4 linked regions of the Caenorhabditis elegans genome follow. The protein of the gene in region 2 purifies or fractionates together with the protein of the main gene of each other region. This does not show direct contact. Each region holds a gene or a part of one and is shown on either strand. Other genes may lie near its edges. The genes, in order: npp-20, sar-1, C30G7.3 and sec-23.

The links.
Region 1: the proteins of sar-1 (region 2) and npp-20 fractionate together in Caenorhabditis elegans (co-fractionation; one large-scale study listed by BioGRID). This does not show direct contact.
Region 3: the proteins of sar-1 (region 2) and C30G7.3 fractionate together in Caenorhabditis elegans (co-fractionation; one large-scale study listed by BioGRID). This does not show direct contact.
Region 4: the proteins of sar-1 (region 2) and sec-23 fractionate together in Caenorhabditis elegans (co-fractionation; one large-scale study listed by BioGRID). This does not show direct contact.

Annotation. Positions count from the first base shown.
Region 1 is NC_003282.8:1,490,137-1,497,645, forward strand, and holds npp-20 (Protein SEC13 homolog), read right to left. Parts: upstream 5,887-7,509; 5' UTR 5,872-5,886; coding exon 5,824-5,871; intron 5,755-5,823; coding exon 5,680-5,754; intron 5,591-5,679; coding exon 5,469-5,590; intron 4,809-5,468; coding exon 4,494-4,808; intron 2,179-4,493; coding exon 1,908-2,178; intron 813-1,907; coding exon 702-812; 3' UTR 517-701; downstream 1-516.
Region 2 is NC_003282.8:4,511,385-4,514,950, forward strand, and holds sar-1 (Small COPII coat GTPase SAR1), read right to left. Parts: upstream 1,936-3,566; 5' UTR 1,929-1,935; coding exon 1,883-1,928; intron 1,838-1,882; coding exon 1,718-1,837; intron 1,520-1,717; coding exon 1,454-1,519; intron 1,403-1,453; coding exon 1,166-1,402; intron 1,107-1,165; coding exon 994-1,106; 3' UTR 509-993; downstream 1-508. Other genes in the region: ZK180.8 (uncharacterized protein), read right to left, coding at 56-199. UniProt on the Caenorhabditis elegans protein: Small GTPase that cycles between an active GTP-bound and an inactive GDP-bound state and mainly functions in vesicle-mediated endoplasmic reticulum (ER) to Golgi transport.
Region 3 is NC_003283.11:14,941,628-14,947,531, reverse strand, and holds C30G7.3 (MADF domain-containing protein), read left to right. Parts: upstream 1-1,827; 5' UTR 1,828-1,926; coding exon 1,927-1,947; intron 1,948-2,011; coding exon 2,012-2,078; intron 2,079-3,350; coding exon 3,351-3,448; intron 3,449-3,603; coding exon 3,604-3,723; intron 3,724-3,984; coding exon 3,985-4,136; intron 4,137-4,510; coding exon 4,511-4,829; intron 4,830-4,875; coding exon 4,876-4,959; intron 4,960-5,312; coding exon 5,313-5,357; 3' UTR 5,358-5,402; downstream 5,403-5,904. Other genes in the region: C30G7.4 (Matrix-remodeling-associated protein 7), read left to right, coding at 410-748.
Region 4 is NC_003283.11:20,089,460-20,094,294, reverse strand, and holds the start of sec-23 (Protein transport protein SEC23), read right to left. Parts: upstream 3,033-4,835; 5' UTR 3,028-3,032; coding exon 2,890-3,027; intron 2,138-2,889; coding exon 2,043-2,137; intron 1,988-2,042; coding exon 1,843-1,987; intron 1,794-1,842; coding exon 1,704-1,793; intron 1,430-1,703; coding exon 1,316-1,429; intron 43-1,315; exon of another isoform or gene 1-42. Other genes in the region: dcs-1 (m7GpppX diphosphatase), read left to right, coding at 3,553-3,669, 3,757-3,937, 3,985-4,130, 4,789-4,835.

The sequences.
Region 1 (7,509 bases), 3.0 Mb from region 2:
AATGACACAAAACCCAAACTATTCGAGATTATTTCTAATTTCTAACAAATTTCGGTCAACTTCCGCTAGATAATAGTATCAACCAAGAAAAAAATTATTCCCAGCACGCGGGGTCGAACCCCGGTCTTCTGCGTCCCAGCCCAGCCCGTTGCCGCCTGCGCTACTGCAACCAATTTTTCGAAAAATCCTCGGAAATGAGCCAATATTGGTGTCAAATAAACGAAAATTGTGCGAGAAATTTGAACATGTGCATGGAAATTTGTAAAAATCATGTTTTCAAAAACTGTTCCGCATTTTTCCGAAAAAAAACTGATTTTTTTCAAGTTTCACTAGTTTCCAGCAGGTTATACTCAGTTTCAGCTTGTTAACAGTATCAATCACGCTAAGATAAAGAAAATTCCCACCACGCGGAGTCGAACCCCGGTCTTCTGCGTCCCAGCCCAGCCCGTAACCGACTGCGCTACTGCGACCAATTTTTCAAAAATAAGAGAAAATCTGAATTTAGTCGAAAAAAATCAATAAATAAATAAAACTTCATCCCGGTTTCGCATTAGTTTTTTGAGAGAGAAAAAGAAGGAAAATCATAAAATATCTGGATTCGGAGAAGTAAATGAGGAAAAAAATCAATAATAACAGGTACATATACAAGTTTTAAGAGGAATTATGGGTGTAGAAACAGCGAAAAAAAATAAATAATTTATTTATCTCTGAGCTCCCGGAGCTCCGACCGCTTGGCTCATTCCCTCGCGTTCCTTATTGTCACGTGGCACTTTGATCCATTGTCCCTGAAGATTTTCGCGCCAAATTGTGATCTGCAAAATTGGAAAATGAGCGTTTTTAGGCGTAGGTGCCTGCCTGCCTGCAAACAGAGCTTATCATATGCTTTTTTTTGTAGAAACGGCACTTTTTTAAGAAGATTTGCCTACCTACCTGTAGGCACGGTAGGCACACGTGTAGGCATTAGGCAGGCGGGAACATTTCGTCTGGTTTTTCGTAATTCTAGGTCGAATTTTTCAGAATTTTCGTTGAAATTCAATTAATTCCGGTGATTTGATCGGAAAATTCGAATTTTTCGCCATTTTCAGTAAAATTACTGCAAATTCTGAATTTTTGAGTATTTTTTTTCCATTTATTCAGATTTTTCGTGCCAAAATGCTTTTTTTGCAAGTTTTCGGTAGCTTTTTCTCAAATTTTTCATAAAAATTGAAATTTTCATGTGCTGCTCAAAAATCGATACTTTTCAACCGAAATTCGCCGGTTTTTATGTAAAAAAAATTGATTTTGAAGTGATTTTGGCCAATTTTCCGGTAAAAAAAATTTTTTGTTTTCCCACTTTTTTGCCAGTTCTCAATAGATTTTTTTTTCCAAAATTTTGAATTTTCCAGGTTTTGCTCGAAAATTAATATTTTTAGCATTTTTCGATCAAAATCACCTGAAAAAATCGAATTTCAACGAAAATTCTGAAAAATTCTTCCTAAAATTACGAAAAACCGGGCAAAAAAGATAGAAGTTGTATTAAAACCAAAAAAAAAAAAAAAAAAAAAATCAAAATTTTCCTCACAAAAACCTGCCACCTGCCTCATGCCTACTGCGGCTAGAGGTAGGTAAGATTTTTTTCCGTTTTTTTTAATGCCAAAATGCTTTTTTTTTTCGCTATTTTTTCCAAATTTTTTCGAATTTTCTAGGTTTTGCTCGAAAAATCATAATTTTGAGCTAAAAAATCCAAAATTTCAGCGATTTTTGCTAAAAATGTGACAATTTTCCGTTTTTGAAGCGATGATTTTCGCTGTTTTTGTACACTTTTTTTTTTCAAAAATTGTGCCATTTTTGACGTAAAAAATCCATAATTTTCCCAATTTCGGTGCCAATTTCCACATTATTCCACACAAAAATCCTCGATTCCATACCACATTATCATCGCCAGCAACTGAAAGGAATGATCCACACGGAGAAAATGATGAATGGTACAATGCACACGGAGCCGTCTCCAATAATTTCGCCTTCCACTCTTCAGTTTCAATATTTGAAGTACGGAAAAGTACCAAATTTCCCTCCATTCCACAGCTAACAATTGTATGTTGTCCATTATTTGTTACCGGGCACCATGCGGCTTCACGTACAAAATCTGTGTGTCCGGCTAGGGTTTTCTCGAGAATCCATTCGTTTGTAGCGTCGTCACTGGAGGAAAAAATATTGGTGATTTCGAAGGAAAATTGTCATTAAGAAAATGAATTTTTCTTAGGAAACCCCAATAACACTGCAACTTTTTCCTCACGAGGGACGAGGAAAAGTGGTTTCTAGGCCATGGCCGAGGGGCCGACAAGTTTCAGCGGCCATTTATCTTGCTTTGTTTTCCGCGTGTTTTCTTTTGTTTTTCACAGCTTTTTCCCGTTTTTTCTTATTAAAACTGATAAATAAATATTTTTTGCAGATGCTAAAACAATTTCCAAGTTAAAAAATTATGTATCCAGTGGGCAAGCAGCGGTGAAAGTGGGCAATGTAAAATGATGGATTACGGGAATACAAAACCTAAACTTTTTCTGAAACATGATACATATGCTGCTTAAATGCTGAGACTACCTGATTTTCATAACGAGTCCGCTGAAAAAGTTTTGAGGTTTCCACAATTCAACTTTTTTGGTAAAAAAGTCGAGATTTTCGCACAAAAAATTGAATTTTGAAAACCTCAAAACTTTTTTAACGGTCTCGTTATGAAAATCAGGTAATTTCAGCATCTAAGCATCATATGTATCATGTTTCAGAAAAAGTTTAGGTTTTGTATTCCCGTAATCCATCATTTTACATTGCCCACTTTCACCGCTGCTTGCCCACTGAATACATTTTTTTTTTACTTGGAAATCGTTTTAGCATCTGCAAAAAATATTTATTTATCAGTTTTAATAAGAAAAAACGAAAAAAATCGATGAAAAACAAAAGAAAACAGGCGGAAAACAAAGCAAGATAAATGGCCGCTGAAACTTGTCGGCCCCTCGGCCATGGCCTAGAAACCACTTTTCCTCGTCCCTCGTGAGGAAAAAGTTGCAGTGAGAAACCCCAATAAATTCGACAAAATTCAGTGGGAAATCAGCTTTTGGGCAGCTTCAAAATTGGGATTTTCCAAAGCGAACCCAAATTTCTGCATTATAATGGGGAAATTTTTTTTTTTTTTTCGAATTTTCACCAACAATTTTGTTTGTAGCGCGTCGTCACTGTAAAAAAATGGGTAATTTCGCGGAAAAATTGTCAAAAAATGGATTTTTCAAGAGGAAATTCAGGAAATTCGACAAAAATTTCGAAAGAATATACTTTTTTTCTGATTTTTCAGCAAAAAAGATTAATAAAAATTTCCGATTTTGGGGGTTTTTTGAAATGAAACTGCGAAAAATCTGGAATTTGAGAATTTTTTGCAAAAAAAACAGCTTTTGGGACAAATTTTCAAGTTTAAATTATTTTTTGAGTGATTTTTTCAGTTTTTTTTTAATCAAAAAACCGAAAAATTGGATGTTTCAGGGGGAAAATCCAGGAAATTCGACAAATATCTGTTAAAAAATATCCAAAACCTGGAAATTTTGAATTTAACACGATAATCTGAAATTCGGGTAGAATTCGCTTTTACTTTTACAATTTTTTAGAAAGAAATTTATTAAATGGTCGGATTTTTAGTCTTTTTTGATGGAAAACTGTGAAAAAATGGGTTATTTCACGGAAAAATTGTCAAAAAAAAGGATTTTTCAAAGGAAACTCTAGAAAAATCTGGAACTTTGGCGAAAAATTTCCATTTTTTCTCGTTTTTCGCGTCGTCACTGGCAAAATAATGGGATTTTTCAGGTGAAAATTTAAGAAATTTGAGAATTTTCGGTGAAAAAATACGCTATTGGGTCGAATTTTTAACTTTAACATTGTAAATTTTGAGAATTTCAGAAAAAAAAACAATTTTTTCATTGATTTTTCAGAAGGAAATTTTTTTTAATTCTGGAATTCAGGCTTAGGCTAAGGCTTAGGCCTTAAAAAAAATCCGAATTTAATTTTTATTTTGCGAATTTTTTCATCCCAGAAAAACTGACTTTTTCAGGGGAAAAATCTCAGAAATTCTTGTGATTTTAGCAAAAAATCAGGTAATTTTGAGGGAAAAATTTGAATTTTTCAAAAATTTCCGGTAAGAACTGCACTAATTTGTGATTTTTAAACAAATTTTGGATCAAAAATACAACTTTTTTGGGAAAATTTCATAAAATCTGCCAATTTTGCTGAAAAAAAAGTAAAATTTTACGACTTTTTTTCCGAGAAGTTTTGGCAATTTGAGGCTTAGGCCTAGGCGTAGGCGTAGGCTTAAGCTTAGGCTTAGGCTTACAAAAAATCTGACTTTTGAGAACCTGAGAAAATTGCGGTTTTTGTATTTTCCATCGAAAAAACGTCAAAATTTCACGTTTTTCGGGTCAAAAAAAATCTAAAAAATCTAAAAAATCGATTTTCAGTGCATTTTCTCTACTCACAAAGCCCAAATCTTGACATTTTTATCATTTCCAGCTGAAACAAGACGTTTTTTTGCCGCCGGATCAGCACTTCCAGGTGCCCAACACACTGAATTAACTCCTTGTTCATGACATTTCTGAATTTTCGACGAAATCCATTCGTTGCTCGAATTGTCGTATCGAAGAATACCGATATCACCGTCAGCAGAGGCAGAAGCCAACATTAGGCCATATTGGTGTGGTGCAAAGGCCACACAAGTCGTACTGGCCTCATGAGCGGCCCATTCGTAGGCTTTTTGCCAGCGGCCTTGTTGTTCGTTCCAGATTATCACTTTTCTGGAAAGAAAATCGATTCATTTGGGGGAAAATTGGCTGAAAATCTGTGAAAATTGATGAAAAATGCCTGAAATTAGAGCAAAATGAGCTAAAAATTGCAAAAAACCCGTGAAAAACTACTGAAATTCATGGAAATTCCAGAAAAAAACGTTGGATTGGGGGGTAAATTGGCTCAAAATTCCGAAAAAAAAACTATGAAAATTGAATAAAATCGATAAAAATTACAAAAATCGGGGCAGAAATCGACTAAAATTCGGGAAAAAATTGCAGAAAATCGGTAAAAATTTCATAAAACCCGTTGAAGTTTTTAAAATTTTGGTGGATTTGAGGGAAATTAGGCTTGAAATTCAAAAAAAAACTGTGAAAATTGACCGAAAATACTGATTTTTCTTTAAATAATCCGTGAATTTAAAGGGAAAATAGCGTAAAATCGGTGAAAAATGATCAAACTCATTGAAATTTCAGAAATAGGCTGCATTTTTCAATATTTGTGTCCATTTTCTTCCAAAATCACTCTGTTTAACCAATTTTTGGCAAAAAACCCAAAAAATGAGCTGAAAACCGATTAAAAACAGAGATTTTAGCGTATTTTTATGAAATTCTGATCGAATCTAGCAAATTTTGATCATTTTTCCGTTTTTTTTTCCAAATATTCCGTACTTATCATAGGAAGCGGAGGCAAGAAGTCCTCCATATTTCGGATGAGCCCATGAGACTTTCCAAACGGGACCACTGTGTCCGACAAGCTCCGCCATCGGATATGACTGGCCATTTGGGCGAACCTGTAATATTTTTATATTTTTTTTTGCGTTGAAATTATGAAAATTCTGGGATTTTTGCAGAAAATCCAAGATTTTTCGCCTTTCCTGACCTCAAAAATCTTCACAAGACGGTCAGATCCACACGTGGCGAGTCGGCTTCCGTAGATGTTGAGCTGAGCGTCGTGCTGCAATTTTTCAGAATTTAAAAAAAAAAAATAGATTTTCTTAGCTAAAATTCAGATTTTCCGACTTACAATTGCGTCACGATGTTGTGTATCGATTCTCTGGCGGACCGTGGTCATTTTTCAGCTGAAAATCTAGAAATTTCGAAAAAAATCGCTAAAAATTGAGTGAATTTCGGCAAAAATTGAATTTAAAAATTGCAAGTTGGAACGATCGAGAAACGCGTCAACACGAGAAACGCGCCAGCAAACGATAGCTGGCGTGTTTCTCGTGCGCCAAGGAACGTGGATTTAATCACGAGAAAATAATAATTGATGGAAACCTGGAGAATTCGAATGGGAAATTGTTGATAATTTGATAAAAATAACAATTTCTAGTTCTACTTTTTAAGATTTTAAATCAAAAACAACTCAGGGAACCTTTCAACACAGATTAAAAGATCAAAGTTCTGAAAAACAACTTTCTTAATTATATTGTCCTTGTTTTTTCTTCTGTTTTGATTTTTTCTTCTGATCATCAATATCAACACGCCGTACTTTGAAGTCTGAAAAAAAGATTCAAATGAAAAAAAAACACATTATATTTTGTGCTTAGCCTCCGTGTGTCTTATTGCGGGTCGCGTGACGTCGTCAGCGCAATTTTTACGATCATTTCTTTCTGTCATGATCATCAGTTTGATTTTCTAGCGTGATTTGGAGGCGAAAATCAATAAATTATAATAGTTTTTCGCTTATTCCTGTTTTAAAACATGTTTTCTATATTTTTATTGAGAAACTTGAGATTTTTAAAAAGAAAACTTTAAAACCCGCTTGTATTTTTGCAATTATCTTATTTTTTTCAATTTCTTCGCTGAAATACTTGAAAAATTGCAATTTTTGCTGAAAATAATTCCAAAAAGTGTGCGCGGCAAGTAAAATGCATTGTACGCAATTGCGTATCAATGCATCTAACCCGACGCGCAGTTTCAAGGTTACTGTAGAACATTTTGTTTTTTTTTGTGTTTTCCCCAATTTCCAGCCGAAAAACTCGAATTTTATGTGTTTTCCAACGTTTTTTAAAATGTTTTTTTTTGTAAAAATTTTAGAAAGTCAGCAAAGTTAACGTTTCTATCGAAAAATCCAGTTAAAAATCAAAAAATTATCGATTTTTCGGATTAATTTGGAAATTCAATCGAAAATGAACTATTTGAGGAAATTCTGGCAGTTTTTGCGGAAAAAAATTGAAAATTGACAGAAAAGTCGATATTCTAACAGAGTTTTCACGCAAAATCTAAAAATGTTGAATTATTTTTCGATAGAATTTCGGGGTTTTAAAAATTTTTAGGACAAAAATCAATAATTTCCAGAATTTTTTTGAAAAAAGTTTCGAAAAATAATAGTTTCAAGAAGCATCAAAATCGTAAGTTTCAGTTTTTTTCAAATTTCCGATAAAAATCCCCAAAAAGTAAAAAAAAATTTTTTTTTGAAAAAATCTGTTATTTGTGCCGAAAAATCATTAAAGCAAATATAAGAAAACTATTATTTATCTAAATTCTTATAGAAAATCCAATTTTTTTTATAGAAAAATCAAATTTAAAGAAAAAAAAAATCAATAATTTCCCCCAAAAGAATCCTGCCACCCCAAAAATTATCAACAGAGCACAATTGCATCATATTCCATAAAAAATATCATTTGGCACACTGCCAAGTCTTCATCACACCAACATCTCTGCACTCTCCACATCTCTGAACCCCCTTCTTTCAGTGTCTGCGTCTCCA
Region 2 (3,566 bases):
ATTTTAATAGAGTTTACAAGTAAAATATAGATGATGATAAATTCAAAATATTTATTTAAAATTCTATGAATAAAGGAGGTTCCCTTCCCTGATTATTGGATATTCGTAGTGGGTGCACACGAACACCATTGCGTCGAGAGAGTGGAGGAATAGAGAATTGGAGTGAGCTGTGTGCACTCAAATGTACTGCAGAAGCCATCTGTGAGACTACGACGAAAAGGTTCTTCTGGAAAAATAGCCAATTATCTGATCTGAAATTAATTTTTTTTCCGCACCTGAAATAGAAATGTGTCCGTTTGACCACTTGGAACACAAACCACATAATGGAATGTTTGACCATGTCGCCTGACTACAGGCCCTTGTGATCAAATGTACTCCGATCAACAATTTTCTTTTCAAATTCCAAGTTTTTCAGTTTCAGTTATAACTATAGTTAAAGCTCGCCACAAAGAAAACAACTATATGGCGTGACGTTTTTTTTCTTGTGAGTAGCGTGATAAGAGAATAATTTCTGGGAAAACTTCGAACTGCAACATTCCGAAGCTGTTTCATTCACATAGAACTAACCGAAATAAAAAATTAGAAAATCTGAGGGGGAAATGAAGTGGGACGAGAAGAAAAATGGGGATGTTTGAATGATAGTGATGTGATAAATACGGAATAGATGAGGAAAAGGTTTGAATAAATTTTTGTGGAGAATAGAAAAACAATGAGGACGCCGTGAATTTTTTACAAGTCCGTATAAGTCAAAATTTATAAATAAAATAAAATGGGATTGCGGCTTGCTTTTTTATGCACAAACGTCGAAGGCATGAGAAGTTTAATGATGAGGATCCCAAGGATCCCAAAAGAAAAAACGAAGGAAAATGACAAGTACGTACAACAAATCTATGGGAAATGTTGGCGGCGCAATATGTAAGAGAATGGTGCTTTTTTCGAGAATGGAATAAAAAAGGAGTGAGCAGAAGAAGAAGAGTTCAAGAACTGATCTGTTTACAGGTACTGTCCAAGCCAACGGATTCCTTCTCCGTATCCTTGTCGCTGAAGAACAGAGCACATGAACACTTCCATCGGCCGAGAAGCCATTTCGTTGCGGGAAACGTCTCCTATAAAGATTTTCGTTTTTTAAATAAATTCAAGCGATAATTTCCAATCAAAAACCAACCCTTTCCGGTGCACATATGTTGAATGTTGAGTTGCCACTTGAGCTGATCCTCACTCAATGCTCCTGGCTTGTCAATCTTGTTTCCGAGAATAAGCACTGGAACGGAAGCGATCTGCTCGTCCTGGAGCAGCGATTCGAGCTCAACACGGCTTTCTTGCATTCTTTCGGCGTCGGCCACATCGATCAAGAAGACGACGGCGTCCACGGCAGGGAAGTAATCTTTCCAGACTCGTCGTGCTGGAAAAATGAAGAAAATTAGTTTAAAAAACCGAAAAAACGAGTGAATACCTTGCGCGTGACCACCGAGATCGTATGTGGTAAACGAAATTCCTCCGAGTGACATTTGCTCAGATGCTGAAAAATAATCAATTCAATAATTCTCACAACTAGTTTTTTGCGTCATCATCTTTAGCAATTGACAGATGATAAGCAAAACCGGTCAATCAGCTGTAAAGAAGAGAAAGATATCATTTTTTTAAAGTAAGATTCCTTCCTTTAACAGGCTGAACTACACCGGAATTGCTTTTAAAATCAATAAAAAGCGATAATTACTTGGGTGAAGAGTGGGAACGTGTTGAGCAATACGATCATCTTTAAGCATGTGAAGCAGTGTAGTCTTTCCAGCGTTGTCTAGTCCCAAAAATACCAATTTTCCCTTTTTGTTGGCCAATCCTGTAAATAAAAGGTTTTATGATGGTAAAATTCAGTTTTACAAACCCAGCATGTTGAGCACTCCATTAAACCAGTCCCATAAAAACGACATATTGAATCTGGAAAATTATGCAATTAATTTATTAATTAAATCACTTAAAAATCGGGTAAATCAGGCATTTTTTAGAGAATAAATGAATGAACTGAAATAGATCAAAAGTGGGAACTTTTAGTGGTTAAATGGGGGTGAGAAAAGAGGAAAAGAGAGAAAATAACGAGGCGGAGACATTCTGTGTAGCGTGCTACACAGAGACAAAACGACACGCGCTTCCACGTGTACCCGAAAAGAGAAAAGAGACGCAGTGTGATAATCAAAAAATTCTAATTCTGAAAATCGGCGATTCGGGACCAGGAAAGCTTCATTTAAAGTGAATCCGGAAAGCGCTGACGTGTCCAAAGTGGCAGATGGTCGAGAAGTGCGCCAGCGTCGGGAAATGCGTCAGTAAGGATGAAAGGCGCGCTTTCCGTGCGGAATGGAGAAAATACGCTTAAGCTTTAAATAACAATTAAAGGCATGCAAAATTCGACAAATATCACAAATTTTAAGTAGAGACGAAACATAATGGAAAGACAATTGGCATTTACAATGTAAAACTCCTAAATTTCAACAATAATCGGTGGAAAATTAAATTTTCGTTTAAATAAAAAGTTTAAAGAATAAAACTTACGCGCCAAAACTCCTTTTAATGAAAAATGTTCAGATCACTTCGAAAAATCGATTTTTGAAACTGATTCGAAAAAATTTAAATGTTGAAAAGAGTTTTTATGGCATGGTTTTTTCTCGATAAAAAAGAAAACGTGAAGGAAATGTTTTTCTTTTGAAATTATTCATTGAAATTTGAATTTATAAAATAGTAAAACTTATTCAGCTACATTTGGTCTCGACACGCCAGATAATTTGTTTAATGCCTCAAAAAAAGCGTGCGCCTTTAAATACTACGGTATATTTCTTCGATTTTAAATCCGCTCAATTTTTGAGAAACTGAAAAATGAAATTTTTAATACCATGGGAGAAACTAATACCGCGACCCGAAGGTTTGTCATTTTTGTGGCAAAATACGGTATCCGGTCTCGACACGACAATTTGTTGTTAATTGCAAAAAGGTGTGCGCCTTTAAAGAGTACTGTAGTCTCAAACTTCTGTTGTTGCACAATTTTCATTGTTTCTCATATTTTTCTTAAAAATAGGTGTATCAATTATAAAAAAATATAAAGTAGAGTTTCCTACCGTCCAATGTAGGCTATGCCAACACGCAAAATTCACGTTAGTTTGAAAGTTTTCATTTTCAAAAAAAAAATCAAGTTCATTCATTTATTTTTTTTTTCGAACTTTATTTTAAGCCAGTCGGAGTAGGTCGAGCCGTAGGCTCGAACGACACCGGCTGGTCAATTATAAAAAAAAACACACATAAATATTATTTAGCAAATCGCGAGTAAAACTGCAAAAAATCGATGAAAATTCCGCTGCACCAAAAGTTTCAAACTACAGTACTCCTTTAAAGGAGTACACCTTTCTGTGTTTAACAAAGATAGTCATGTCGAGACCGGGTACCGTATTTTCGCCTCAAAAATTACGATTTTTTCGTTTTTTTTTAACTCAAAAACCTGTAAAAATATTTTTTTGACAGGAAAAATTAAAAATCCGAAAACTACTGTATTTTTAAAGGCACATAACTCATCTCTGCAGTTT
Region 3 (5,904 bases), on a different chromosome or scaffold from region 2:
CTCAGTAACGTTCCCCACATCACAATGAAGCAATGCACCTACGAAACAATTAAAGAATTTTTTCACTTGCAGGTAGCCCTCAAAAGTACGAAAAAAAAATTGAAACCAATGTTTTTCTCGCCAAATAATTTGTTTCATCGGGAAAATAATAACGAAAAAGTTTCACAATTAAATATTATTAGTCACATTTCCAAAATAAATCATCATCAATTGTTTGCGATAACAAAAAAAACTTCGGAATTCTTAACACCTAGAAGCAGCCGTCTGAAAAGTACAAAAGCTATTATATTTATGACAAAAATGACATTTAAAATTGATTCTATATTTTCAGAAGCTGTAAGTTTTTTCCAATTCAAAAACATATAGGATACAAATGATTTCTACTTCAAAGAATTCCAGAACTTCAAACATGGCAGTTTTTGATTTCATCATTGGTTTCGGCTTCATGTTAATTGCTCTTTTTCTCATTTTCCTATACCTCAACAAGGATGGGCACATTTCAATAGCTATCAAAAAAATATTAACGAATTCAAGACAAAAGGCAAAAGATTTGAAGGATGGTTCAACATCCGACCCATCAAAAACGACACCAGCCGCACCTGCATGCTCTCCAGTATCAAATGAGGAAATAACAATACCCTCAGATGTTCAATCGGTGAATAATACTTTATCAGAAATTTCATTGTCAGAAGCTGAAGTTCAAGTTGATGAAGAGAATCCAAATATTGTGAAAATCCATGTAATTTGATGACTGTTCGCATTTCTAGTCATCATTTTGAAATTTAATAAACCAATGCGACATCGTAGTTTACTTCACCGTTGTCAATTTTTGTAGATGTACTGAAAATGTGTTTGAAATTTGTCCAATTGCAAAAATAATAATTAAAAGCTGACAATAATCATCTATTGTTCACAATGACGAAGAAATTCTAAATGCTTCTTACATAGAAGCCGACTGATAAATATAGAACTATAATATTTATGACATGATAGCATCCAAAATTGTTTCTATATTATAAAAAGCTGTAAGTTTTTTGTTCAATTTGATGGGATGGCAGCAAAAAAGTTACAATTCGACGTTAAACCATCACAACCCAGATTGACCTCGCAATGAAATATTTGACCAACTGTAGATTAAAAAACATATACCGTATTATTTCTATTAGTCTTGCACCAACAATGCTTAATTCCGAGATTTTTAGAAGATAATTTAAGTTATTTTCGTAGCATTAAGCCATATTGGTTATCATGATATCTGACTCAAATTTGGTGTCTTGGCTCTATTCTCGTGCAAACACCAAAGTCGCGTTAAAATATTTCATTAACCTAGGGAACTGCCACAAAAGTTGCACACTTTATTATCCACGACAATTGATTTCTTGGCTTTTGTGAATAAAAAATAATGTTTTTCGTAAATGAAAAATTTCAAATGATGGATTTTCCGGAAATTAATAAAAAATTATCAATTTTTCAAAAATTAAAATTTCATATTATCGACTTTTCAAAAAAAAAAAATTAAAACTTCACATTATCGATTTGTCAAAAATTGAAAATGGCAGATTACCGATCATTCAAAATTTATCGATTTTTACAGGAAGATGGAAAGTATGTAACTCTGAAATCTAATGTCGTGGAAAATGGTTTCTACTCGGGAGTCTTATAGATTTTTTCTCATTAATTTATTGATTTTTGTATTGTCATGATCTCAATTTGAAAAAAAGAAAGAAAATGTAATAATTATCGATATATTTTTTTAAATAAAACTGTTTTTGAAATTAAATCTTCACGTGGCCTTTTCGAATTTTGTTATTCTCAACAATAATCGATAATCCGTGAGATTGATAAAATCGATAAATTTCAATTATTTCTCACTTTTATACTCGTCAATACCACATTTATTACTCGCCGCTTATTCACATTACTCCAATGAACTGCAGACAATCAAAGGTGAGGTGCACGAGAAATGCGCCAGCATTTGCTTGCGCAATTCACGATACCGTATATTTTTCAGAAAAATTCTCACATCTGGGACAACGTCTGTACCGCCGGCACTCGTCGTAATCCGTATTACGTCTGCTGTGAGTTTGAGAGTCGGGAAAAACTGATAGTTTTTGTTGTTTCTGTTCAAAAATCGATAATTTCTCAAAAATAAATATTTTGAAAATTTAGAAAATATCGATTTTTCCGTAAAATCTATATTTTACACAAAAATTTTCACCTACGTGTAATTATCGATTTTTGTTCCAGAAAAGAGTTAAAATTAAAATTTTCGAATTATTGATTTTTTTGTTGGTAAAAATAGCATACAGGGTGGGCCAAAAGTATGGTAACACATGAAGCGCTCTTTTACATGAGCTTTTCGCGCGACTGCCACGTCATACGTACATTCTTCTATCGAATACTGATAGCTGAATAAATTTCCTTCAATTTGACTCAAAATTTGTAATGTTTCCCAATAAGGTGCGATCTTTATCACCTCGACAATTTGGCGAACCCTTTCGAAAAAACGGTAATTTGGCACGCGGCACTTCCCACACAAACACACCTCCCACGCACGCCAATAATTTTCAGATGTATGATTTTTATGTTAAATTGAAAGTTAAAGAAGTGAAGAAGCGTTTTTAATTGTTTTTGTAGCATATAAAAATGTTCTGTGTCGACACTGGCGCCTAGCAAGAACCTTTGTATATTTCATGAATTCAACTTTGCGAAATTTACTCAGTTTTTTTGGTTTCGCAAGGCGTAACGACCCACAAAATCATCCGAGCTCAATTTTCTAAAAAAATTCTGGAAAGTCAGGTCAAAACGTCTCGAAAAATACTAAAATAAATTTATCTGAATACTGCTACTCGCCGCTCACATCCATCTTTCTGGCGACTATGCCATTCAAGACTTAACCTACTGCCGCAGTCCATGACAGAAATACCGTGATAGAAAATATTTTGATTTTTGTTTTTAAAGAATCTCTAGACCAAGGGCATTCTTTGAACTATAAAAACTTGTAAGACACTTTATGGATTCCTCAAGAAAAATGTAGAAATCCCGCAGAATGCCGACTTGCGTGCCATAAAGATCGTGATCTCAAAAGTTCTGAAGGCCTGCAGCAATGCGGATGGATATATTTTGAAAATTCAAAACGTTCATCTGGTCAGTATTTTATGGAGAACAAAACTTGTACAAATTGATGTAATAACTCTCTCCACTAGTAAAGTTATAGAGCTGCAAACGTGTTACCATACTTTTGGCCCACCCTGTAATTCCTAAAAATCAATACTTCGAAAATATTTTTGATTTTAAGTAAAAAGCGATATTTTTTCACGTTCTTTTTTTTGATTATCGATTTTATGCAGACGGCACCACCGGCTCCACCACCTCATCACTGTCAATTTTGGAATTTTCACGTGAACAAATCACCGTAGTGTCGCCACGTGTCAAATGTCCCCTCAAGGTGAGAATATTGGAAAAAAATCATTTCAAAATTTGATCGCTGTACAAAATGCCATTTTTAACAACTATCTATCGTCAGATTCCGACCGGAAATGTATTGATTTTTTGATTTTTTGGACTAAAAATCAATAAATCAATATATATTTTTATTTTCAGCAAAAAATTGTGGAAAAACCGAAGAAAAGGAATGTATATGTCACGAACTGGGATCGTGCAGCGGCGGAGCAACCAAAGGCACTTGCCACGTGGATTTATCAGCCATTTGATAAGAGAAAGGTGGGTCGAGAATTGCGCCAAGGCTCTATCATTTTGTTGGCTTGTTGGACATCCTATCAGAAAGACATACCTGAAATTTCAGTTCGATAAGACTATTTTGAGCAGTGTTACCAGGCCTTGAAGTTTCTTATAAGATTAATCGACCGCGTCGCAGGTTGTTTGCTTTGACTAGTTGTAACTTTGCTCCCAGTGGATTGATTTGAAATTTTTTGTGTGGCTAGCTGTGTATTATTACGTACATTCAATTCAAAAAATTTTCAGTACAACAACCGCACGGCATCCGACGCCTTCGACGCCTACCAACACCGCCTGAAACTGAAAAAACTGCCCGAGACAAAGCAAAAAGTCACAAAAACCACCAAAAGACATGTGACTATCAATGAAGCGGCGACTCAAGTCATTCAGGATGTGTGGTGAGTTTGCACTAGAAACGCGCCAAGGCACGAGTTTTGCGTTAAGGCGTTAACAGTAGTATACATACATACATCAGAAATCAATACAGAGAAATCAATACACAGCTCTACGAGCATTTTGAACAATTTTGAACAGTTACGTAGATTTTGAACAGTTACGTAGATTTGAAGTATTGAGAAAAACCGCGACGCAGACTAAAGTTTTGAACCACTGTAACTTTGCTCGCACTGTTCGAAGACTTTCAAAATTTTTTGTGAACGCTCCCAATGTAATTGTTAATATGATGACGTCATCATTGCTCCTTGGCGTATTTTTCGTGCCATGACGCAATTCTTGATCATTAAATTTGAAGCCCTAATTTTCCTAGTTTCAGCCACCTCCAACCGAAATCCTACCAAAAAATTCGCATATCAAATTGTCGAAATGATGAGGTGAAAATCGATAGTTTCTCTGCTAACCGAGTTCCAAAAGACGATGATATTGACGACCTGAACGTGAATGTTCCAGTTGAAGATGATGATGACGTGGAACTCGATGACGTCATCCTTGCTCAAAATCCGGCGTTTTACGGCACAATTGAAGCGGAAAAGTGTGCAGAACGAGTTGCCGCACATCTATCGATGGCCTGTGAAAACATGGAACGTTTGCAATTTGTGACGGAAGCCGTGTATCCACAGAGCGCCGCTCATTTGGTGAGTGATTGCCTAATATGGAAAATAAATATTGATTTTTTTGCAGAAGAAGCTTCAAGAAATCGATGATGACGTCAAGGATTTCAATTGTCAGATGAGACAGCGTCGTGTCAAAGCTTCGAATCCAGGAGTACGTACTTTTAAGTTTCTGTGTGAAATTTCATGGCTGGACCGCGACGCGACACGAAACTCATGAAATTTTTGAAACTTTAGCGTTTTAATTCAGAACATCAAATTAGATGAAAAAAATGAACCACAGAAAATTTCAGAGCTGTAGCCACATTTTGAGCAAAGTTAAGGTGGTTTGAAAGTCCTAGCGACACACGACGCATGTCAAAACTTGCAGTTACCCTAACTTTGCTCTTAGTAGACACAGAGCTCTGAAATTTTTTGAGCGTGCTCCCCATGCAATAGAAAACTTGTTTGCGCAATTTTGGTGCCTTGCAAACACCATAACCGTGTAAAAATATTTTATTATTCCAGGGAACAGTCACAAAAGTTGCACACTTCATTATCCACGGCAATTGATTTTCCTCGATTTTTGCGAATAAAGAATTTATTGATTGGATTTCCAATTTTTTAAACCTTTTTTGTAGTCACCTAACAACCCGGATTTTCAAGTAGATTTTTAACAATTTTCAGGAAAGCGAATAACTGGAAATAATGCCTAAGTGCCTAAGACTAAGCCTAAAAATGAGCCTAAGGCTAAACCAAAAAAAATCCTAAGCCTAAGCCCTGTGACATAAGCCGGCAAAGTGAAGCAAAACGGCTTGTTTTTTGCGCTGTTATGAGCTTCATTCTTATTTGTTAGACCTTGTGTGTCCCCAAGCCAAGCTATTTCGTCGACATGATGATAAAAATTGGTTTTTGATTTAAACGAATTTTTTGACGCCATACTTATTTATTCGAGAAAAAATAAGCATATATAAAATAGGAAATTCAACAGAGAGTCAAACAAATTAAACGCTTTTTCAAACTGAACTTTCAGGAAAAATAGCAATACGTTTTATCTGAAAAGGGTTGTTTGCTATTATATTGTTTTGTTGCAGAGAACTTATTAATAATATTTATTTTT
Region 4 (4,835 bases), on a different chromosome or scaffold from region 2:
GTTCAATATGTCTTATGAAGTTTGAATAAAAAAGTGTATAGTCGGTGTATAGTCGTTAATTAACCTATTAACTTAAAGGTGGTGTAGTCGAAAATTATTGAAAATTCACAGATTTCAGTGAAAAATTCGAACAAAACAAGGCTATACACTTTTTAATTCAATTTTCCATCCAAAATCTTATAATTCTATTCATTGGTTAGTAGTATGGTAATTCAATTAAATAATGCGCTACTTATGCTCAATTGACCCAGTTTTCTCGAAAAAGTAGGATTCTTCATAAAAAATAAATGTTAAATTGAATGTTATACTATATATATAGTTGTTCTGAAACGTTACAGCTCTGCGGAATAGGTAAAGGTGGTGTAGTCGAATTTTTTTTATTGCCTTATTAGACTCAAAATTGTCTGAAAACACCGAATTTCATAATGAAACTTCTTGAAAACTTGACAAAAAAAAGTTATGGCGGCTCAAAAAATGGCCTAAAATTAGTTAAAATTTGAAATTTGACCGACTTGTCAAGCGGCTGGAAACACTTTTTTTTTGAAATCACCGTCAAATTTTGAGTTTACAAGTTGATTATCTTGCGTTTTAAACTTGATTAAGGTATTTAAAAATCGATGTACGGCGAGATTTTTAATTTTTTTTATCGATAAACTCGCCGTCCATCGATTTTTAAATAGCTTAATCAAGTTTAAAACGCAAGATAATCAACTTGTAAACTCAAAATTTAACGATGATTTCAAAAAAAAAAATTTCCAGCCGCTGCGACATTGATAAGTTAGTCAAATTTCCGATTTTAACTAATTTTAGGCCATTTTTTGAGCCGTCATAACCTTTTTTTGAAAAGTTTTCAAGAAGTTTTATTATGAAATTCGGTGTTTTCAGACAATTTTGAGTCTAAATAAAGCAATTTGAAAAAAATCGACGACACCACCTTTAACTATTCCGCATTTTAGAGCTTTAACGTTTCAGAACAACTATATATATAGTATAACATTTAATTTAACATCTATTTTTAATGAAGAATCCTACTTTTTCGAGAAAACTGGTCAATTGAGCATATTGAGCGCATTATTTAATTGAATTACTATACTAGTAACCAATGAATAGAATTATAAGATTTTGGATGGAAAATTGAATTAAAAAGTGTATAGTCTTGTTTTGTTCGAATTGTTCACTGAAATCCGAGAATTTTCAATAATTCTCTAATTTTTCGCTATTCATTTTGCATTTACTTAGTGTTTTTTTTTTGGCATTTTTCGGCATTTTTCAGGCTTCTAACCCAAAAAATCCAATTTTCCCTGCAATTTATTACCTTGAAAACGTAGCTTCTCGAGATTCCCTGAGTGTTGAGCTCATGCAGCTGGACCATTCTACCGTAGGTGATCAATCCGACGAGAGCATCGGCTGGGAGCAGCGAGAGAGCAGTCTGAAATTGGAAAAATTGGGAAATTTTGCCCAAAAATCTGAATTTTACGGCAAAAATTGCCAATTTTCATGAAAAATAACACTATTATGTTTAAAAAAGTCGAATTTTCAAGCGAAAATGAGCAGAAATTCCCATTTTTCAGCAGAAATTCCCATTTTTGAGTGAAAAAATCACAAATTTTGAGTTGGAAAACCGACGAATTTTCGAGCAATTTTCCGCGAAAATTTTAAAAAACCGCCGTTTTTTTCTCAATTTTCTGCAATTTGTCCCGTACTTGAAGGCATTCTTTCAGCGATTTCAGCTCCTCTGCAGTCATACACGTGTCGACGACGAAAACGAAGATCGGCGGCATTGTGGTGGCTTTCTGGAATAAAGATTTGGCTTAAAACTCGGATTTTTCAGCATTTTCTCACTCGAAGCGTGTACTCAATGGTTGTAAATTGTGGATAGAGCTCCGGCGGGCGGTTATCCTCGGCAATTGCCGCATAATGAGCCGGGAACGGATTCCGATTGTTGCAGAATGGGCACATCCAGATTTTGGCGCGATAATCGACGGCGCTGAAAGCATCATTTTTCGGGGTGAAAATCGGGCAAAAAAAGGCCTGAAACTCACCAAAGTGGGTTTAAAATCGCTTTACAGCTGGCTTTTTGGCACAAAACCGGATCATATTCCAGTGGTGGTTGGGCGACTTCTGTTGATGGGCGCTCCTGGAAAAAAAATTTGGTTTTTGAGAGAAATTTGATGAGAAATCGTGAAATTTCAGCTTAAAATCGGCTTGAACTCCGCAAAATTGGATTAGCAGCGCCTAAAGCTTGTAGTTTGTAGTTTAGCAGCGCCTAAAGCTTGTAGTTTGTAGTTTCAGCAGCGCCCAAAATTGGATTAGCAGCGCCCAAAACGTGTAGTTTGTAGTTTAGCAGCGCCCAAAATTGAATTAGCAGCGCCCAAAACTTGTAGTTTGTAGTTTTAGCAGCGTTCAAAATTGGATTAGCAGCGCCCAAAACTTGTAGTTTGTAGTCTAAGCAGCGCCCAAAATTGAATTTTTTTTTTGCGTTTCTCAGCGGAATTTTACGATTTTTGCAGAGATTACCGACTTTTTAAGGTAAAAATGCAGAAATTCCGATGGAAATTGAGAAAAAAATCGCGTTTTTAATCGAAAAATTGCTGAAATTCATGCCTTCGGTGTTTCGAAGCTGCCGATCGGCTCGAGCAGCTACCAAATTTGAATTTTTAGAAGATTATAACGAATTTCTGGCAAAAAATGAAGCAATCCACTAAAATTTGCAAAGATTCGGAGAAAATTGATGGAATTTCGATGGATTTGAAGAAAAATTGCTGAAAATAGGCTTTTCCTCAGCTTTTGGCGCTGCTCGGCAGCTACAAAATCCAATTTTCAATGCTTAAAATTCAATAATTCCACGAAAAATTCGAAGAAAATCCAGTTTCCGCGCCTCAGTTTTACCTTCAGCGGCGTGAAAAAGCAGGTGAGCGGGACGACAAGCTTCTGAGAATCCACTCGACTGTGTGGCCACATGTTCCACGTGAATTGGACGCCATCGTTCGCCTGTTGAGCACCCAAATATTCTTCCCAAGTGGCCATTTTTACTGGAATAAACTGGTAATGAACTTTTTATCGCGGAAAATGATGAAAAACGAGGAGAATACGTGGATTACGTGTGAAATTCTGGTTTTTCACCATTAAATTTTAATTTTATTAATATAAAACACTGAAAATCACGTTTAATAGCGAAAAATCGAGTTTTTTGGGTTTTTATGGTTGCCCAATCAATTTTCGTCATTTTTTCGACATATGCAAGGTGAAAACTATGATTTTTACACTAAAATCAATAAAAATCGACTTATTTTCAATATTTTAGCAAGAAAAATCAGAAAAAATGGTGAAAAACGAGTGAAAATCTGCAAAATTCCAACAGAAAATGTACACGTGGAGGAAGATGGCCGAGAAAAGAATTGGAGTTTTCTAGGCCGCGGCCAGTGTGTTGTTTTACGATGCGTGACACTTTTGAAAATGTTTTTTGAGTTGGTTTTCTCGATTTCTACCGTTTTTCGTTGCAATTTCTGTATCTTTTTGGTGAATAATAAGTGAAAATCTCGATTTTTCAGTATGAAACGGATCGCCGACGAGGAACTTGTGCGAGAGGAGCGTGCAGAGGAGAGTACACAGAAATGGCTGCAGGATGCCAAGTTTCAAGAGATTTTAGGCGCTGATTCGTCGCATAAGGTGAGAAAATCAATAAAAAGTGAATTTTTTGCATTAAGAAACAATAAATTTCACCTAAAAATCATAAAAATCAATATTTTCTTCCAGTCTCTCTTCGTTTTGCTCTCCCATCCCGATGGATCTCAAGGCATTCTGCTTGCCAACAAGTCTCCGTTTTCCGAAGAAAAATCCGATATCGAGAAGCTTCTGGCGACTGCACAGCTTCAAGAAATCTCCAGAAATGACATTTTCGGGTCCTATAATATAGAAATCGATCCCAAATTGAATTGTAATCCACACAATCTTGCTTAAATTAATTTTTAATTCAATTTTCAGTGCTAAAATCTCAACTAATCTACCCGATAAACGATCGTCTCATTGCAAAATACCGTCAGGAGGAGAAATTCGTGATTCGAGAGACTCCAGAGCTTTATGAGACTGTTACAAGGCCGTATATTGAGAAATATCAGCTGAATCTCAATGTAAGCAGCGAAAAAATGAAGAAAATCGGAGAAAATACCAAGAAAATGAGTTTAGCAGCGCCCAAAACGTGTAGTTTGTAGTTTAGCAGCGCCCAAAACTTGTAGTTTGTAGTCTTAGCAGCGCCCAAAATTGAATTAGCAGCGCCCAAATCTTGTAGTTTGTAGTCTTAGCAGCGCCCAAAATTGAATTAGCAGCGCCCAAATCTTGTAGTTTGTAGTCTTAGCAGCGCCCAAAATTGAATTAGCAGCGCCTAAAACGTGTAGTTTGTAGTGTTAGCAGCGCCCAAAACGTGTAGTTTGTAGTCTAAGCAGCGCCCAAAATTGAATTAGCAGCGCCCAAAACGTGTAGTTTGTAGTCTAAGCAGCGCCCAAAATCACGATTATCGATTTTCACTCGTTTTTCTTCGATTTTTTCGAATTTTTTGATTTTTCTTTTGGTTTTAAGTGAAAAACAAGACAGAAAATGAGAATATTCTGCAAAAAATTGACAAAAACCATTAAAAATTCGTAGATTTTCTCTGTTTTTCAGAGTTTTTAGCGTTCAAAGTGAATAAAAATTCGGAAATTAGTAGAAATACTGAAAATCGCACAATTTTAAATGAGAAAATGCGATTTTCCGCTCGAAATTTCTTTTTCAAAAATCAATTTTTCGTTTCAGTGGGTGTACAATTGCCTGGAAAAGCGCTCGGAAGTCGATAAAATCGT